Drosophila melanogaster: one gene and its partner. The gene in region 1 interacts genetically with each later gene. Each region holds a gene or a part of one and is shown in the gene's direction. Other genes may lie near its edges. The genes, in order: Xport-A and trpl.

What was found.
Region 2: of Xport-A (region 1) and trpl, changing one enhances a phenotype caused by changing the other (phenotypic enhancement), as found in Drosophila melanogaster (2 studies listed by BioGRID).

Annotation. Positions count from the first base shown.
Region 1 is NT_033777.3:19,913,612-19,917,129, reverse strand, and holds Xport-A (exit protein of rhodopsin and TRP A), read left to right. Parts: upstream 1-1,717; 5' UTR 1,718-1,835; coding exon 1,836-2,049; exon of another isoform or gene 2,050-2,053; intron 2,054-2,117; coding exon 2,118-2,254; 3' UTR 2,255-2,305; coding exon of another isoform or gene 2,306-2,647; 3' UTR 2,648-2,734; downstream 2,735-3,518. Other genes in the region: CG4465 (uncharacterized protein), read left to right, coding at 1-84, 140-1,140; Xport-B (exit protein of rhodopsin and TRP B), read left to right, coding at 2,306-2,647.
Region 2 is NT_033778.4:9,751,663-9,756,795, forward strand, and holds the start of trpl (transient receptor potential-like), read left to right. Parts: upstream 1-2,034; 5' UTR 2,035-2,177; exon of another isoform or gene 2,178-2,315; intron 2,316-3,951; 5' UTR 3,952-4,067; coding exon 4,068-4,097; intron 4,098-4,375; coding exon 4,376-4,521; intron 4,522-4,630; exon of another isoform or gene 4,631-5,133. UniProt on the Drosophila melanogaster protein: A light-sensitive calcium channel that is required for inositide-mediated Ca(2+) entry in the retina during phospholipase C (PLC)-mediated phototransduction. Required for vision in the dark and in dim light. Binds calmodulin.

The DNA of each region.
Region 1 (3,518 bases):
TCAAAGACTTCAGTCTGCACTGTGGACTCCGATGCCTGGCTGCTGTTTCGTGCTGTTTTATGATCACCTCGGGGCAGTATATATGTAAGTAAAATTGAATATTTAAGAATACTTTAATATTAAATAACCTACTTTTCAGTTGGTGACATAACAGCGGGAAAATATCGCGTAGGAACCCTCATACTTTACGACTGCTTCTGGGCTCTGGGCTTGATTCTGCTCCCTGGCTTGGCCTCCAATGCTCCCAGCTGGCAGCACATATACTTGGGCGTAACTCTTTCCTTGCTGGTGATTGTCTTTCTGCTACCCTGGACTCCGGACTCACCGCGCTGGCAGCTGCAACACACCAAGGAAGCTCAACTGGCCATCGAGCGAACGGTGGGTATCCTGCTGGAAGCAGCCCGTACCAATGGTAGAATGCACAAAGTGTCCAAGGAGTTACCCCAGCAGTTGGAGGAGCTGAGAGAAAGGATGCTGGAGCCAATGCCCGCCGTGCATTGGATGCACTTGTGGATGGGCCAGCGTAGGAGTACTTTCCACTTGGTGGCCGTGCACATGGCACTTGCCACCTTCATGGTGGTCAACACTGGGCTGCTGCTCCATGTGCGGTCCTTTGGCAGGGAGCACCTGGTGTCCAACACACTGGCCATGGGCCTGGCCGAGATGCTTGGCTGCTTCCTGGCCCTACACCTGACCTTCAACCTGAGTGAACGCAAGTGGCAGTGGGCGGGGGGATTTGCCATCGTGGTCGGTTGCATCGGTAGCATCTGTTGGTTCCTGGCCGAGGAGGATATGCCCGAGGTGTATGGACTGACGCTGGGCTTGCTAATGGCATCACTTCCCCAGGCGGCCGTAGCCTGCGCCCAGTCCATGATTTTGGCCTGCCTGGGCGAACTGGTGCCAATGGAGCAGCGTAGTTGCCTCTCCTTCTCCGCCGTCACGTGGGCGCGGGTGTGGCAGCTCTCCGCCTCTTTTCTCACGCTGCTCAGGCAGGTGAGCCCCGCCCTCTCCCTGTCCGCCTTCTGTCTGCTGGTCATCCTGGGCGGCCTTGGCACATGTTGCCTGGTCACGCGGGACAAGGAGCAGCCACCGGTCGGAGCTGTGGTAAACAAGGGACAGCAACTTATTGCGTTCACGTAATAACGTATACTTAATATATGTCTGGGCGTATTTGATAAGTTAGTTGTAGTGTGTGTCAAGTATTCGCGAACAGTATTCGAATTTAGCTCATTAAACATTCGCTTATCGCGAATCGAATATGTATATTGGGTTGCATACTTTTGGGAATAAATCAAAAGTTCGGCATCTACACGTAGTTTGTTTAAAATGTAAAGCTTACATTAGATCAATGCAAAACTATTATAAACTATTTGGCAGAATAAGGCATTAAATAAATTAAAACTGGTTTGCATGATATTTAAATAAGCTTTCAGGAACCAGAGCCATTTGGGACCAATGTAAACCCACAAACACCAACCCTACCGGCGACCACCTTCATCCACCAAGTTGACACACATTTCGTGTGACTGGTATAATAAGTACACATGCCCGGCTAAATATCCAAGCGCATTGCTCCACTAACAACATATTTCTATTTGGTCACCTGTCCCACCATTCCCACCCAGCCAGAGCGACAAGCAGAAATCGCAAATCAATAAAATGGAAACCATAAAATTGCCAGAAGCGGCGCCACGCCAATTGGCACCACAAAGTTTGTGTCATTTGCGGAGCAGCAGTTGGCGAGGAAGCACCAGGCGGAGAGCACTTCCAGGACCAACTCCAATCAAATGCAGTGCTGTGCAGGCTGACCGACCAACTGCTGCTATCTGGATGCAATGAAGCCGAAGAAATCGGCCTTTGCCAATTCATCCACGGGATACGGCAGGAACAAGCACGGTAAAGGACACTCTGGCAAGGATAAAGTCGAGGGTGGTGGTAAGGGCAAGAGCCGAGACGAGAAGGATAAGCATAAGCATGAGCAGAAGGTGGACGAGAAGGATGACAAGGATCTAAATTCCGGCTTCGGCGACTATCTTCGCACTCCGGAGGGTCTGTAATTTTCGCTCCTTAAAAATATATAGTTCATTTAACTAATAAATATTACCCCTTTCCAATAGCATTTGAAATGATGAAACTCTTTGTCTTCGCCAATACCATAATGCTAATTGTCACCATGGCCTGGCCGCACATCAAGGAGCAATTCTACATGGTTAATCAATGGCTTGAAAGCTTCCGCGAGGAGCATCAGCAGTAGAAACCAAAGGATCTATCGAACAAATAAGTAAATCAAGTGGAAGCATACAATATGGTCGGTCCATTCATGCAGGGCCTATTCTTGATTGGCATCATCTACTGGTATTCCAAGGGGATGATGTCCATGATCAACGACTACTACAGAAGTGAGTTCCAGCGAAAGTTGCAGACGGAACCAGCAAAGACGAGGGCAGAGACACCCATCAATGTGGACAACTTTATGGATTATGTTAGGGAGCTGGACACTCCGGACGAGGTGGCTAGAATTCCGGCGGAAGGAACTGAATCTCCGCCCATGGGAAACACCTATTGCCACATCCTTCGACGATTCTTGGAGATTACCGGCACTCTACCACCATTCGATGTTTGCCTAGTTACGAGCAACATAAGATAGCCCATCCTATAATTAATTATATATGGTATCAATTATACTTAGTGTGTTTTATATGAGTTTCGTAGAATAAAATATCTTACTAACCGTATTGCATACTTAATTGTCTTGCTCTCTACATTCGAATTCTACATTGTATCCCACCATTATGAACAACAATAGAAATATTTATCCAACTTGTGGTTTTCAGCTTTTTTATTTAAATGTTTGCAGAATATATTCGTGTGTCTCCAGCATTAGCTCACTTACTAACCTATTCACAAAACTTTATAAACATACTAATCTCTATAAATATCATGGAATATATATCGATTTGGTCTGTAAGTAAGCTCTATTCAATCCAGATCTGGTCATTGCTAGTTTGCATCTGAAGCATCTCGTGAAAAATAGTTATATGGAGATATAAAGTAGTTAGGTATTTGACTTGGAAGTTATGCCATTTGGTTTATAATAAGTGCTGTCTACAAATCGCTTGTGTTCAGGTATTCGTTTTGTGGCACAAAGTGTAGAGTTTTGAAGATACCACAAAGCTGAAGATATCTTAAGTATCATTTGATTTAAGGAGGTCAGTATGTGATTAAGAGCTAGGTATTACCAATTTCATAAGAGATCCACATTCTAACATACACTACGCGCACCCACTCTTTAGCCAATTTCGTAAAATTAACTTCACAAACAATAAAATACAAAGACAAATGCCTCTCGGGCAAAATCATATTTATCTTTTTATGTATATTTTATATACACAACAGTTTATCATACATAATTTTATTATAAAATAAAAATAATAATAATTGCATTACAAATTAATAAAGCAAAGATACAAAGTAAAGTACATCGCGCAGCGAAATGATAATTCAATGAAAATGTACTT
Region 2 (5,133 bases), on another chromosome or scaffold:
AAAGTGTGTGTGCAGCGCGGCAGCAAAGCAACAAACCGTTTGGCGAACTGCCGGGTGAATTATGGAAATGCATCATATTATTCCGCAGCTCCTGCTCCTTGGCCAGGATCGCCTCCTGCAGGATAACCTGCTGCAGGATAACCTGCTGCGAAATGTGTGAGGGCGTGCGTGTAACTATGCTACTTACTGTCTGTTTGCTTCTGGGACTGCCATCGCCAGACACACTCAGATCCACTGGAAAGTATTAGGAAAAGCTGTGAAGCTCAACAGAAAGATATAGAATTATGTTTAATTGCACTGGAAAATATTAGGAAAAGCTGAAAAGATCTACAGAAAAATAAAGGAAACTTGTTACCAATTGATTTATACTTTTTTGAGTTGCTGTTCTCCATTATTTATTTGCAGATTTAGATAGCACACAAACTTAGATGTCTTCGAAGTAATAAATTCATACTTAATTTATGTATTATTTATTATAAAATAGTTTATTTGTTAAGTGATTTTCAAAAATTTCGAGTGTATTACTAAAAGCCACGTGGCCAAAACAAGAAGATATAGCACAAAAAAAAGACAGGGGAAGTGCCAGATATATCGCAACGCGGCCAGAGAATCGGGAGATTGGAGCCAGGACGAACCTTAAAGGATGCTTTTACTCCGAACTGGAGCTCTTCGCCCACCGCATGCAGCTTGATAAAAGACGCAGTCATGGTAACCCACCTGCCACACCCGCCTCCTGCTCCTGCTCCACTCTTTTCCGCCCGAAAACCTCATCTGGTGTTTGTTTGTTTGTTTGGCTTCGCCTGTTTACGTGCAGTCATGCGAAGCTCCGGCCCAAACCTCGACTTTTCAGCTGATGCTGGAATCTGCTTCAATTGTTGTCTGTCGCCAAAGGATTCCCCTCATCCCTGCCCTCCTCGGCAGCCCAACAACCCGCTATGCTCCATCTCATCAAAATCCATTTTAAGATTTTTGATTTAATTCCGCCTTTGTTTGGCAAGTTGGTTACTGCTCATGCCCTCTGTGTATCTAGAGTTTAGATTTGCCTGGGCAAATTTGTTTATGCCCGTCAAAAGGCTGACTCTGCCGGAGACATATGAACATGTGAAGGACCCTCTTGGACTGTCTAGCAGTTCGTTGTATCCCAATTGAAGTGGAGCAGCCAGTGGAACCAGGAACCCTTTTCAATAGCAAGTTGAAAATGAAACAAACTATTGAAATAACACAATCATAGGCTCTTTAGGTTTACTTGAAATCAGTTTAATGGGTATCAGCATTTGAAAAAATTCGGTACAAGTGAAAAATTAATTAATTGAATTCAAACAATTACAAGTATTATGCTGCGTTACGATGAAATAATTGCAATATAAAAAAATTAGGCAATGAAAACACTAGTAGTAGATTTCAGATTTATAGCAAGTGTATAATGGTAGAAGGAGCAGTAGATTTATATGCAAGATGTTTCGAGTCGCAGCTATTAACATATATTGAAAACAGCAGCTAATCAATGTCAATCGAACTGCAGGCTAAACTGAAATTTTCCAAATCAAATTACGCACGCTGCATTGGGCAGCACGAAAGTATCCGCAAATGTGCAGCAGTTTGTGGCCGGAAAAGAGCCCGAAGAGCAAGTGGCAAACAATAGCTGTAGCAACCCAAATCAAATCATGGCAAATTAGTTGTAATTCAATTGCCGACAGTCGCCGTCTGGATCGTGGCCCCCACCTCCACCACCAGTCCCACCTCAGCACCAGCCCCTACATATGTTTGGGTCCTAATCCCCTTAGGCGAACTTGGCGAAAACTTGTTGATACTGTGTTTCAGCCCTCGACCTCCACAATTCATAACACCACAAACGTATATATAAACCTATAGAAATATATATATATATATATGTGTGGATAAATGTTGCACGGACAACCTCCAGGCGTATCCATGCGATGGGTGACAAATATTTGACGTTTTAGTCTAATTAAATTAGCCACATCGCCGCTCGGCCCTCGGGAAAGGTATAAATTTCTGCGCGTTAGTAGCAGCGTGTAAATTTCGCAGGTGGCACACGTTCGGGCTGCGTCGCGGGTTGTCTCTCGGCGGGTTTTCGCCTTCAAAAGAGCTGAAATTCAGATATACATAAACTACAACACACATTGTACGGGAATTCGGGAGTTCGGTGGCCAAACGTATTGTTATAAAGTATATGCCAGCATACAATTCATAGTCGCAGTCCTCTCACCTAAGCCGGTCACATGAAATTCCAACGTCCATTGTGCCAGCGAGTCGAACAATTGCACACGTTTTTATGTGCCGGAATGCAAGAAGTACGTATCCGTACGCTTGGTTATAAGTGGCTTAAGTGCAGTCCGTGAGCCAACTGAATTACGTGGCTATATCCTTCATTCATTGTGCTCCTGGTTGCTCCTGACTGCTCCTGGTTGCTCCTGGCAGCTGCAGGTTGCTCCTACCTCTTCCGTTGATTGTCAAGTTGGGGCTGTGTGTGCGGAGCTTGTGGTCTGTGACTGCTGGAGTTTCGATTCAACTGGCTGCCATCGCGATAAGCCCTTCGTTTTTATGAACTCTGTAAAATACTCAAAATTTGTTCTAGTTTTAATGAACTCCAGTGCGCTTGCGACAAAATTATGATACTTCGATCGGTGCCAGGCAGAATTAACACATCTCGGCTGCAGAGGGAGAAATTAGAGTGAAATATCATATGCATTTTACATCGTATGTTAACCGAATAGTTTATACTTGTTATAATATATACAGGTGCAGATATAATCCCATTTCGATGGGCAGTCGCAGTATGCACCTGCTGTGCAGGTGAACAGCTATAAATCCATTTATAAACGCTTCCCATGAAGTGGCGGATAAAACCGAATTTATTGCGACATTTTTATGTCCGTCCGCATTTTCGCCCGTCCTCCGCACTTATATTTCTATTAAGTTAATTAAACAATGCACCATCGGGGCTCCTGGGGTAGTCAGAACCACCTTTTGTTGGTACCGGAAGTGTTTTTTATGGAACAACCGCCATGATGATGGTTCCGAGTTTTTGCCTGCCGCGCATACAAAGCACTTGCATTTTTTATGACCAGCCCAAACACTTTTAAATGCATCTGCAGCATCCGCATCCATATCCGCATGCAGATCCGCATCCGCAGGAGCATAAAGCCAGTTTAAAGCAAAAGCATGTAGACGGAATGCATTTTTTCTTTGCGGATTATCGAAAAAAGCTCCTTAAATATTCATTTTGGCATTGTGTTCACACATGCGGAGGAAGGCAGCGGAAAATAAAAATATTTTCATCGGGTGTGGGAAAATATTGGGAAACAAAGAAATTAATTCTAATGGGAGAAACGATTGGCGATGATGTGAACAATCCAATGAGAGCAGCAACAACTAATACAAACTGCAGTTCGTTGCTAATGAGATGAGTGCAATAAAAATGTAAATCAAAACAGAAAGCCGATTGAACAATTGGTCATAAGTGGTGCAATAAGTGCTCGCGAATTTGGTGTTCAGTGTGGCCTTTGGAATTGACCAGTAACAGTCGGGAAACAGTGAAACTGCACAGTGTCTAATCAACTCACTAAATTGGCAAAACTTAAATCTTGCCCATGCAGATGGCACTTAAAAAGGGTTTAGCCAGCTCGGTCAGTGGCGGAAATAAAAAGAAAAACATTATAAACAGCTTAAATAGAAACTTTTTGCACGCCGGAAACCAGAAACCATAAACCAAGTCAAAAACCACCAGACACACACACACACACACCAACACACACAAGCACACCCAGTTGGACATATAACTATGGACTATACAACTATGAGTACAAAAGCAAAATCAACTTGAAAGTTGCATGTGGCCCGGCTTAGTATTGGACTTTTTTGGCTTTGCCATTGTGTATATAAATATATATGCCATATATGTAAATATCGTTCACTTTTCACTGCAAGTGTGCAAAGCCCTGCGACATGAAGTCGGATTTTGAACTCTGAACCCTGGACTTGGTACATGGAATACTAGTTACGAACTGCTGGCGTTCGGTTAAGTGAAGTGCACTAACTCTAGAATGGGTCGCAAAAAGAAGCTGCCGACGGGCGTAAGTAGAAACCCATCCAGGATCCCGATCCAGATCCGTATCCAGCAAGTAGCATGTCTTAAAGCCGCCAGTATTAGCTAAACGCCGCTTACCTTAAACGCCTCCAATGCCATTTAGATGGAAGCCAGACAATCAGCCCAGCATCCTCCACTTTGCACTTAATTTTCTTGTATGTTTATTTTTTATTTATTTGCAATTCCGCATACACGATTTCCCCCTCGCCACATCGGCATGTACGTATGTGGCTCCTGCTCACCTGTCTCTTTAAATTATGCCAGGTATCGTCTGGCGTCAGCCACGCCTCCTCCGCCCCCAAATCGGTGGGCGGGTGCTGTGTGCCGCTGGGATTACCACAGCCTCTGCTGCTCGAGGAGAAGAAGTTCCTGCTGGCTGTCGAGCGCGGCGATATGCCGAATGTGCGCAGGTGAGTAGCGCTTTTCACGCCTCCGATGCCCAGCAGGGAGGGGGGGGGGGTGGGTGGTGTTTCTGTATGGCATCTTGGGCGGGAGGGATACACTGCAAGAAACTCTTACCACAATCAGGTGTTGGATGAGCATTAGTATTCAAAGTTAATGTACAAGCTTAGCTAATGAATGTATCAATCGAGTAGAACCTAATGTATATTGATATATTTAGCCTTCAATTTAAAAGAAATAGTTAAACACACTACCACATTTATCCGAGTGTAGGGTGTTCGAATAAAAACCCTGACATTTTTAGAGGGGTATCACGAGCTCCAATGGTGGCTTCGCCCAGGGTAACACAGGTGTTGACTGGGCTGGGTCGCACAGGTACCATAAATCCCATCGGGAGCCTCCTTGGGTTCTTTGGATGCGGTGCTGGTGGTGGGTTCAATTATTTGCACACTCGTCTGCCGCGGGCCTCAAAATGGTTACCTAACTGGCATCCCGGCAGCCACTTAATAAGCAATATGAGGCCTTCGACCCGGATACTTTACGCTCGTTTACGGCTTTGCTTTAACAAATGTACGATTAATTCCGTTTGCTGGCAATGAATAAGAGATAAGCCAAATTAT